Macaca fascicularis: one gene and its partners. The protein of the gene in region 1 interacts with the protein of each later gene in a pairwise test. Links are inferred from orthologs where the notes say so. Each region holds a gene or a part of one and is shown in the gene's direction. Other genes may lie near its edges.

What was found.
Region 2: the proteins of LGALS8 (region 1) and TAX1BP1 interact in binary tests that used the Homo sapiens proteins (3 or more experiments, as listed by UniProt). The link is inferred for Macaca fascicularis from reciprocal best matches to the Homo sapiens genes LGALS8 and TAX1BP1.
Region 3: the proteins of LGALS8 (region 1) and APEH interact in binary tests that used the Homo sapiens proteins (3 or more experiments, as listed by UniProt). The two-hybrid records come from large-scale screens. The link is inferred for Macaca fascicularis from reciprocal best matches to the Homo sapiens genes LGALS8 and APEH.

Annotation. Positions count from the first base shown.
Region 1 is NC_088375.1:12,615,886-12,620,054, reverse strand, and holds the start of LGALS8 (galectin-8), read left to right. Parts: upstream 1-1,314; 5' UTR 1,315-1,388; intron 1,389-3,269; 5' UTR 3,270-3,368; coding exon 3,369-3,413; intron 3,414-4,169.
Region 2 is NC_088377.1:102,440,473-102,443,019, reverse strand, and holds the end of TAX1BP1 (tax1-binding protein 1), read left to right. Parts: intron 1-287; coding exon 288-370; intron 371-967; coding exon 968-1,169; 3' UTR 1,170-2,016; downstream 2,017-2,547.
Region 3 is NC_088376.1:112,691,193-112,695,623, forward strand, and holds the start of APEH (acylamino-acid-releasing enzyme), read left to right. Parts: upstream 1-1,557; 5' UTR 1,558-1,590; coding exon 1,591-1,602; intron 1,603-1,677; coding exon 1,678-1,810; intron 1,811-2,361; coding exon 2,362-2,488; intron 2,489-2,861; coding exon 2,862-2,955; intron 2,956-3,058; coding exon 3,059-3,134; intron 3,135-3,224; coding exon 3,225-3,388; intron 3,389-3,546; coding exon 3,547-3,684; intron 3,685-3,777; coding exon 3,778-3,869; intron 3,870-3,945; coding exon 3,946-3,986; intron 3,987-4,071; coding exon 4,072-4,193; intron 4,194-4,431. UniProt on the Homo sapiens protein: This enzyme catalyzes the hydrolysis of the N-terminal peptide bond of an N-acetylated peptide to generate an N-acetylated amino acid and a peptide with a free N-terminus. It preferentially cleaves off Ac-Ala, Ac-Met and Ac-Ser.

The DNA of each region.
Region 1 (4,169 bases):
GGAATGTATAAGACAAGTTCATTCTCAAACTACAGTCGAGTTGGACAGATAAAACACACGACACACACCAGAAGATAACTATAAATCCAAGGCAGTGTATGTCAAGGGTAAATTCACTTATTCAAATTGGATCTTGAGAAGTGTATCTAACTTGGAAAATGGGTAAGGAGGAGAGAAAAGCAACAGTGAATCAGAACATGAGTTCCCAGTTATGGGACTTGTAATGAATTCCTCGATTAAAATAAAAAATAATGAAAACAAAAGCCAAGGAGGAGAAAGCCCATGTTGGTGACACTAAAATATATCTTTCCAAACAAATGTGGATAAAAGTTAAGTAGAGAAGATGAGAACTTTGAGGTCCCTAACACAAAACAAACAATAAGCAGCAAGCCATTCCAAGTGGCTGACATGACTTTGTTTCAAACTTTATTTATATTTCTGGCTGGTGTGTTTACAGCCAATAGGTCAAACTATCAGTGTAGAGCCCTGAGAAGTTGGGTATTTACGGAGCATCTAATACGCACAGAATTGTGCTCCATACTGCTTAAACTGTTCCCTAAGTGTCCAATTTGGAGAAAACACCCACGCGCAGGGTAACTAGCGAGTGACGCGGAGTGGCTACGAGTCCATGTTATCGCTAACGGATGGGGCGCTTTGAGCTGGGCACAGTCCAAGGTACTGAACCCTTCCCCCAGTTTCGCCTACATCCAGAGGTGTGCACCTTCAAAAAGCAGTGCCTTCAGGTCTCTTCTGGCACTGTCTGGACTCCGTTCCGAGGCAGACGAGGAAGCTGAGAAAACCCTGGCATTGACCCCGTGGACCTGGGCGCCCCGGGAAGGCCAGCGCTGGGTCCAGGCAGGCGGGGCCTGTGCGGTGATCACCCCGGGTCCCGGAAAGTCCCAGCCCTGAGCGCCCTCCTAGACCTGGAGGCCTGGAACAGCCAAGTGGACGTCGGCCCACTTGCTGCGGAAGAGAAAGCCTTTCTCTTCTTTCCTTCCCATTTTCCTACCACCTTCCACCCACTCCGCCTTCGGGGCAAAGGCAGCCAGATCCACCCAGGACACATTCTTTGTCCTTATCTTCTGTGCTCTCCCACAGCAAGCCAGTCGCGGTCCAAGGCCCCAGAGGCTGTGCAGGAGGCCGAGCTGGGTGGCGATCAGTGGCGGGTCCCTGTCCAAAATCCAGCAGAGCCGCCAGGGACGCTCCATACACAGACGGGGCGGCGCGGGTAGGGTGGGGAGACCACAGCGGGAGAGCCAGGAAGTGAAGGAGGACTGACTCCTGTCGCTTCCCGTAGCCGCCCACGGACGCCCCAGCCGGGAACCGGACGGCACCTAGCGGCTGACGGACAACTTGCTCCGTGGAGCGCCTGAAACACCAGTCCTTGGGTGAGTAGCGCGACCCCCGGCCACTGGGACAGTCGCTAGGGGGGTGGCTGCTCTGAGGGCCTCGCCAGTGGAGGATGGCATTCGGATGTCACGGCTCCTAAATCACAATTTGATGGGTGGGACAGTGTCCATTCCACCCCAACCCGCAGGTCCTCACCGCGGCAGAGCCGGGGCTGGGTGGCGGGGACGCTGCCTCTGCAGGCGAGGCTGCTCCGGGGCGTAAGGGGTTATCAGGAGTCGCGGCCTTTCTTGTACATCCCTGGCTGGAGTCAGGCTGTTTGTCCTGGGGTGTCTCCTCGCTGCAAATCCACCGCACCTGTGCTGCTTTCTACCCTGTTCCCTCCTAACCTGAGGCCTAGAGCCACCTTCAAGTGGAGGAATCTGGGGAAGCTTCCGTCCCGGAATTTGTAGTGACATTGCTTTCCCTGCCTCTAACACGCGCTTTAGGATGCCGAGTCATTTGACTGCAGTATTAAACATTACAAAGGGCAAGTCATGTGACTTCCTTTGACCGTACGTGAAACTTAAGTGATGGCTTCTTGTGATGCATACGAAGTGGTCATGCTGGCGGGACCTGTCCCTGGGGATACTTCAGGGGTTGCGTGATTTAATGCAAGCCGATGATTTAAATTGGGTCACTCGCTGGTTATCACACATGTGTATGGCAACTCGGCATCCATTCTTTTTGCTCTTGTTCTTGCTTCCTGTATTGAGTCACGGAGCCAGAGTTTTGAGGTTTTGACTAACGAATTAAGTTAATGACATAGACTGGGGTTATATTTAGGTGGTAAACCAAGAGGGGTACAGTTTTTTTCTTAATAAAGAAAAAGTAATAGATTTGATCGGTGTGTATTGTTGGTGTGCGGTATAATGACAATTGCTGGAAGTAAAATACAGGAAGCTCTAGTTTCGTTTCCCCTTTAGTTCTGCTTAAAGTCATCGAGTTTTTCCTAGAGTTATTAAATGTAGTGTCCATGGGTGCTTTTATCTTAAAAAATGTGGCTAATGCTTTCCAACACTCCCCTGCCCTGTGATTTTTTTTTTTTAAAGCAGCAGAGAAAATTGTATCTTAATAGTATTAAAATTATTGGATTTCCACACCTTGATTTGTTTAAATTGGAGGAAGAAGAGCAATTCTTTTTATTCACAATAATAATAGCTAACATAGCACTTACTCTTTCACTATTTTATTAACTCAATCCTCAGAACAAACCAATGATGTGAATACTGTAATTATTGTCCTTTTATGGAAATGAAAAGTGAAATGAATACCTCTGATAATTGTACAGGACTGTTTGATTAGTAATGGCCATTAATTAATTAGTTTGTTTTTTTGAGATGGAGCCTCGTTCTGTTGCCCAGGCTGGAGTGCAGTGGCACGATCTTGACTCACTTCAACCTCCACCTCCCAGGTTTAAGCAATTCTCCTGTCTCAGCCTCCTGAGTAGCTGGGACTGCAGGTGCATGCCACCACATCTGGCTAATTTTTGTATTTTTAGTAGAGATGGGATTTCACCATATTGTTCAGGCTGGTCTCGAACTCCTGACCTCAGGTGATCCACCCGCCTTGGCCTCCCAAAGTGCTGGGATTACAGGCGTGAGCCACCATGCCTGGCCTATTTTAGTATTTTTAATAATAAATTCCATGTTAGAAATTTTCTACTGATGTATTTTCTAAGTCAGTATTTCCTACACTCACAATCCAAAATTGTTTAGTATATGAGCACACTGGTAAGAATGGGAGGCAGATCTTTGATTGTAATAACATTCTATTATTTGGTAAATATCAGTAACATAATGTATAATTTAAATTTTAAAATAGGATATGAAGAAAAATGCTGCATGCTTACTTTTCTTTTCCTCTGTTTTTACTTTACACAGGGCCAGTGCCTCAGTTTCAATCCAGGTAACCTTTAAATGAAACTGGCCTAAAATCTCAGGTCATACACAGAAGAGACTCCAACAAGAAGCTGGAAAAGGATGATGTTGTCATTAAACAACCTACAGAATATCATCTATAACCCGGTAACTGAGTTCTAGAAAATAACGTTTTACCTATGCCAGGATTGAGAGCAGATCCAATACAATATTAATTATCCATTGGGAGACAGGGCAAAAATAAAAGCCAGCGAACATATTTAAAGCACCTACTATGTAATAGGGATGGTGGTGGGCGCTGACTACAAAACAGCTGTCGTCCTCTAGTGGAGGAAGAAGTCACGATGGCAATATGACGTGATGAAACAGTGTTATAAACAGGGAACGTCTGGGTAGAGTGGAGGGAATGCCAACTTTTGGTAATGGGAGGAGGCTCAGCTAATCATAAATTTTAGTTTTTAAAGGCAAATGGATTTCTTACTCTACAAGTTTTTCATTTTCTTTTTTAATTAGAGCTGTCCATGAGAAGTTAGTGTCTCGATCTTTCCCTCAGCCTTTCAAATACTGCTTGGCACTTGAGCAGGGAAAATGTCAAAAGCCAGTGGGGAGACGGAGAGTGAGAAGTAGTAAAGGGTCTCGTGCAGTTCAGGCTGGTCCTAGAACCCCTGAATGACTGTAATTGCTGGAAATTGCCCTGTAATCCTAAGCAGTAAAGAGCTTGTTTTAGTTTTATGTGGTGGTGAGAATCTTTAGGAATGTCTAGTTTCCACTTATTTGAAGCTGAATCCTGAATTGAGGTCTGGGAAAGGACAGCCACTTTTTTAGTAAACCCCCTAGAAGATTCTTGGGCAAAAGGAAGGGCGAGAATCCTTGAAATAAGGCCCTAAACCAGTTTTGTTAGTG
Region 2 (2,547 bases), on another chromosome or scaffold:
AGGTCTACTGTTCTCAGCTTCATTTACACACACAGGTATGGTAAATGGTATGTCTCTATTCCTCTGAATACTGCTTTTTATTTCAAGAACACCACACTGTTAGTCCATAGTGAAATACTCTGCAGAGTTTCAAACATGTTTATTTGAAAGTCTAATTAAATGATAACAGAGAGAAAATTTCCTGAAGTGTAATCTTCTTTTATACAGTCAGTATGTGCTTGATTGAATTAAGGAATTTATATTTGGTTTTACTTTCCTTAAAAGTTCCAAAATTATTTTTCCCCTAGGAAGATGAGAATGTGCCTACTGCTCCTGATCCTCCAAGTCAACACTTACGTGGGCATGGGACAGGCTTTTGCTTTGATTCCAGGTAGATTTTTCTTTCCTTTGTATAATTTGGGTTAATTTAGGCCAGTGGTTCTCAAAGGTGGTCCTTGGGAACTCATTAGAAATGCACATATGTAGGGCCTGGCCTAGCTGAACCAGAAACACCAACACTGGGCATAGGCCCAGCAATCTGTGTTTTAACGTGTCCTCTGACTGATTCTGATGCATGCAATCATTTGAGAACCAGTGCCATAAAAACTTAGCTATTAAACCAAATGCACTGGTGGGAAGTTATGAGTTGTATTTATCCTTACAGTCTTACAAAAGGCATTTTCTGTTAAACGTGGAAGAATTCTTGGTACTAATAATTTCACATAATTGTGATTGGATTTGGAAGGTTTTAAGGGGAAAAGTTTTGTTAATCTAATTGTAAAACTAAATTTAGAGGCTCTATAAATGGGTTACACAATTGTCTACAGCAAGCATTTAGAAGCAGAGAAAGGTTTCTGGAGTAAAGACTTGTAGGTTGTTTAGTATGAATATCAGCTAACTAGATAAATGGAACCTTGTCATATACGGACAAGTTACTGTTGTTCTACATTTATTAGAAATATGTAATTTTTTCATTTTTCTCTTTAAGCTTTGATGTTCACAAGAAGTGTCCCCTCTGTGAGTTAATGTTTCCTCCCAACTACGATCAGAGCAAATTTGAAGAACATGTTGAAAGTCACTGGAAGGTGTGCCCGATGTGCAGCGAGCAGTTCCCTCCTGACTATGACCAGCAGGTGTTTGAAAGGCATGTGCAGACCCATTTTGATCAGAATGTTCTAAATTTTGACTAGTTACTTTTTATTATGAGTTAAGACAGTTTAGCGGTAAAAACAAACAAACAAAAAAAATCACCTAAAATAGACCACTGAGGAGACCATAGAGCGATTCCTTCATGCACCCTCTATTGCACTTTCTGACCAGGAGCTACTTTGAGTTCGGTGTTACTAGGATCAGGGTCAGTCTTTCGTTTATCAATAAATTTTAATCTGTTAATCTTACTTGCTTTAAAACAAAGTTCTTGTGTGTTATCTTTATTTATTCCCTAGTTTGCAGAATTGTCTGAATAAAGGATACAAGGATTATTTCAGTGTTACTGCACTGAAAAATGTGTATGTATTAGTGTGCTACATTATTTAGCAGAATATTCACAAGTTTCTGTTGACCTTGTTGATTGAGCATGACTACTAAATATTATGTAATAAAAAGCATTTATCATAACAGTCTTGTGAAGTAGTTCTTCAAATACAGAGAGTTCTATAATTTAGCCCATGAAATGATAGGTTTTTAATTTCCAGAAATAGAGCTGCATGTAGAATGAGATCACATGCTTTTTATATGTGAAATGTTGGTTTTAGCAATTAACAGAAGGCATATTTTGCTAATTTTATGACAAAATTTTAGAATAACCTGAATGATTATTTTTAAACTATCTTAAAGTTGTATGTATATATCTAATGGGAAAATGGAACAAGAGATGTCAATATTGTTTTCCTATTAAATGATCTCATAACAGGGGTGTTTGTGGCATAAAATCACAGAATATATATCAGTATCTTTTTTACATTTTCCTGATGAGAATATAAATTTGAAATATTCTCAGTAAGTGATTAAAAGTACAATGCATAAACCCAAATCAAAGTAATGTGTTTCTTCAGTTATGTCTCTGCTGTATAGAACTCTCACTAACATTAAAGAACGAGGACACATTTTCCAAGATCTATAATTTCATTGTTGTCACATTTATTTGTGAGTTTTTCATTAATCTAGCATCTTGAACATCTTTTTTTTGGTTTGGGCCTTTAAAATTCTTCTGAACTGTATTCCCTTTCCCTTTTATAATGTGCATGTGAATAATTTAAAGTACCAGCTTTTGATTTTGCTGCTTTTGTAGTTATCAAAATAGTTTACATTTGTTCTGAGCAAACTAAGCTATTGAAGATGTTAATGTAATATTTAGACTTGGGGGCATTTTGGGTTGCTATATGTGAACTGCAGCATATGTCACTTGTATTTGTTTGTGGAAGCAGAGTTTGTATATTGTTAGAATCCTTTAAAAAGTTTGAGTCTAGGGCAAACCAGTATTAGGCATTCGTATGCCAGCTGTTAGGACACAGCAGTCCTAGGAAGCAACAGCTTTGGAGACTCCAAGTTTCAGCTTCCTGACAGGTT
Region 3 (4,431 bases), on another chromosome or scaffold:
TTTTTTTTTTTTTTTTTTTGAGACAGAGTCTCACTCTGTCACCCAGGCTGGAGTGCAGTGGCACGATTCTCGGCTCACTGCAAGCTCCGCCTCCTAGGTTCCCGCCATTCTCCTGCCTCAGCCTCCCGAGTAGCTGGGACTACAGGCGCCTGCCACCACACCCAGCTAATTTTTTGTATTTTTAGTAGAGACGGGGTTTCACCATGTTAGCCAGGATGATTTCGATCTCCTGACCTCGTGATCCGCCCGCCTTGGCCTCCCAAAGTGCTGGGATTACAGGCGTGAGCCAGCGCGCCCGGCCGGCCAGGACTCTTTTTTTTAACTTAACTAGTAATCTTGAGTAAGTAATGATGCGGCTGATGGGAAAGGGGAAGCTGCAGGCCAGACAGGTGGACTCTCAATCACAAGCACACCATGGAGCAGGGAGCCAGGGCCCTGATGTGGAAGACCAGCCAGACTCAGGTATATGGAGGGGACATCCTTACTGTCCAGCCTCTCCTGATCTCTGCTGGCACCTTAGCCCAGCCAATCCTGTGCCACGTGCACAGGAAGCCTGCCTGCCTAGGTTCTTTCCACAGGAAGCTCCCTGGACCTTGGTGGAGTCTGAGCCCACCAGGGTCCCCACACCCAAGAGCTCAGGTTGAGGCCTGGGGAGGAGGGGAAGGAACCCACCGGCTCACAGTCCCCAACAAGGAGCCACTGAGAAGGGTGGGTAAAGGCTGCGGGGATAGATAGCTCTTGCGGCAGGCCTGGTGACTGATAAGCCCAGGCAGCACCCTGAGAGTTGGCACTCGCCCCTCTGCCCCGCACCCCAGGGCTTTGCTTTGCGCCCTCCGCCCGGACTCTGGCCTTTCTCTTCTTCGTCTGCCTGGGAGTCCCTCCAGGGCAGGGCCTGGCACTGTCTAGTGAATGTCGGCTGGTAGTGGACCCGAAGGAACCCTACAGTCAGCCCCAGAGCCGCGGGAGATCCACGATGCGGCCGGCTCCCCCCTCCCCGCCCTCACCCTCACGGGCTCCCGGCTCCTCATTCCTCGCGGGGCTGCACTCTGGACCCGCCCGCCTCGCCCTTCATCCTCAGAGACTCATTGGTCCCATTCCCCTCGGGCCTCGCCCTTCAGGTGCTCGGGCCATGCCCGTCCGACCGCGCTGCTTCCGCCTCGCAGTCCTGTCTCACCCGCTTCTCTCGTAGGCCCTTCTACCCCCCCCGAAGCCCGGCTCCCGGGTTCCGCTTCCACAGGGCCGCCCTCTCTCCTCCGAGATCCAACGCCTCGCCCCTCGGTAAGAGGCCCGGGACTTGGCCCACGGCCCCGCCCCCAACTTGACTAGTCCGCCCCTGGAAGGCCAGCTCCTCCTCTCGACGCCCCTGCTCTCTCCACCCGGGACTTCTCGCTGCCAGGCCGGGTCCTCTCACCGTCAAGGCCCGCCCCTTGCCAACGGTTCTCGCTTATTCGCCGAAAGCCCCCCCTCCCAGATTGCCGCAGGGCAGGGGCGGAGACAGCCCGGGCGGTCCCAGGCTCCGCCCCCGGAAGCCTCACTTCCGGGCGCGAGCACCCCCCCGCCCCGCCGCGCCCAGGCGGCAGAGAGGAGACTATGGAACGTCAGGTGAGGGCTCGGCCCGCGGTCCCCGTGGTCCCTGCAGCCCGGACCGGGCCTGACCCTGGTGTGTCCCCTGCGCAGGTGCTGCTGAGCGAGCCCGAGGAGGCGGCGGCTCTGTATCGGGGCCTTAGCCGCCAGCCCGCGCTGAGCGCCGCCTGCCTGGGCCCGGAGGTCACCACACAGTACGGCGGCCAGTACCGGACGGTGCACACTGGTGTGTGTGCGAAGGGGAACTGGCTGGCGACGGGGTCGCGCACTGGGGTGGGAAGGAAGCGGGTGTGGAGGGCTCGCTGCTTGACAGTGTGTAAGGGTGTATGGGGAGCCGGCCTGTACTTGGAGGATACACTCCCACAGGTCCCTGCACACAGGTGTGTGGGGAGGCGGGGGCGTGCGGGGCGTTATCGGATGGTGCCCATGAGTGCACGAGATGATGGTGTAGGGGTAGAATTCAAACCTGGGCTCAGGGCGTGGACTTTGTAGGGTGCTCCGCCAACACTCCATCCCATACACATGCCAGGCTGCCCTCAAGATTCCAGGGTGGGTGCTGTTACTAGGGGGTTCTCTCAAAGAGGCTGTCAGCTCAGGCTCTGGAGGCCTGGACTAGGGTTGTGGACAAGTGTTGTCCAGCCCGCAGCCAGGGTGTCAGTGTCTGGAGACAGATTGAGAGACTGAGGAAGATCTAGGCCTTCCTGGGTCAGGTGGGCTGGGGGGCAGTAGCCAGGAGTAGCCAAGACAAGGTGAGCAGCCTCATGCCTCTCCTCACAGAGTGGACCCAGAGGGACCTGGAACGCATGGAGAACATTCGATTCTGCCGCCAATACCTGGTGTTCCATGACGGGGACTCAGTGGTGTTTGCCGGACCTGCAGGCAACAGTGTGGAGACCCGGGGGGAGTAAGTTTGAGGAAGGAATCTTGTGAGCAAGGCCACAGCGTCTGCAATGCAAGTCTTTTGTGAATGCCCACCATGTGCCTAGAAGGGAGGCCAGGAGCCAGATTCTTGCCCCCTTGGGAGCTCATTCAGTTTCTGGTGACATGGCCTGATAAGCAACGGAGGCTTGCTCCAAACTCACCTGGACTAGAGCCTGTGGTGGCCTGGGGGAGCTGGGGAGAGTAGAGTCTCTGCCTCAGGGAGGAAAGGCAAGGTGCTCCAGAAGCTGGTGTGGGGCCAGAGCCTCAAGAATCTCTCCTAAGAGGTGGTGCCCAGTAAGGGAGCAGGAAGGGGTTATTGCAAGATACTCCTGACCTGTGCTACCCCATGTCCACAGACTGCTGAGCAGAGAGTCTCCTTCAGGCAGCATGAAAGCTGTGCTGCGCAAGGCTGGAGGCACGGGCCCTGGGGAAGAGAAGCAGTTCCTGGAGGTGAGTCTACATGGGACCAGGTAGTGGGTGACTAGAGAGAGGCTCTGCCCCACAGATAAGGCTCTGTTAGCGGGCAAACAGCCTAATGCCCAGATGTCCTCAGGTCTGGGAGAAGAACCGGAAGCTCAAGAGTTTCAACCTATCAGTGCTGGAGAAACATGGGCCTGTTTATGAGGATGGTGAGGCATCTGGCTGGTGAGCAGGCAGGGTGGACAGGAGGGGTAGCCGTAGCCCTGGGCCCCCCCCTGATTGGCCCTCCCTGCACCCAGACTGTTTTGGCTGCCTGTCCTGGTCGCACTCGGAGACACACTTGTTGTATGTGGCAGAGAGGAAGCGCCCCAAGGCCGAGTCCTTCTTTCAGACCAAAGCCTTGGACGTCAGTGCCAGCGATGATGAGATAGCCAGGCTGAAGAAGCCAGACCAACCCATCAAGGTGCTCGTGGTCAATCCACGAAGGCCCAGCAGGGCAGCCCTGGGGCTCAGTGTGCTCCCTTCCCATACTGTGCTTGTCAGACCTGGGGAGGCACTAGCTTCTAGGAAGCAGAGCAGGTCCTATAGACAGGCTGGGCATTGAGTATCTTGTGTTCTCAGGGGGATCAGTTTGTGTTTTACGAAGACTGGGGAGAAAACATGGTTTCCAAAAGCATCCCTGTGCTCTGCGTGCTGGATGTCGAGAGTGGCAACATCTCTGTGCTTGAGGGGGTCCCTGAGAATGTGTCCCCTGGACAGGTCAGCAGCAACAGCCTATGTCCCTCCTGGAGTCTGGGGCCCTTCTTCAGCTACCATCCCTTGCTCACTTCTGCCCTGTGATCTTGTTTGCAGGCATTCTGGGCCCCTGGAGATGCTGGTGTGGTGTTTGTGGGCTGGTGGCATGAGCCCTTCCGGTTGGGCATCCGCTTTTGCACCAATCGCAGGTGAGGGAGTGGGGCAAGGCAAGGGACCTTGCAGCCCAGCTGGCCTTGAGACTGAATGTCTGTCTCGCGGTTCCAGGTCAGCCCTGTACTATGTGGACCTCATCGGGGGGAAGTGTGGTAAGTGGCTGATGCCCACCTGTGCTTTGCTGACACATGTTGGCCCTGCCAGCCTGCGTGATGCTCTTGTTTCCATCTGGCCCAGAGCTCCTCTCAGATGATTCCCTGGCTGTCTCTTCTCCCCGGCTGAGCCCAGACCAATGTCGCATTGTCTACCTGCAGTACCCATCTCTGATCCCCCATCATCAGTGCAGCCAGCTGTGCCTGGTGAGCTGGAGGTGGCGGGGATGGGAGGATGGTCAGCAAGAAGATGGGATGGTGGATGAGAGCTGAAGGGCCAGCATCATCTCCCCATGGGCCCTCAGTAGGTGCCCTTCTGTCCTCAGTGCAGCAGCAGTGTGAGTTCTGCCTGTCCTCTCAAGGCAGGGCCTAGAGGTTGAGAGTGCTGCCATGGAGAGCTTTGCACTGTTGGGGCACGCCACCTTGAGAGAATGCTGATCTGCAA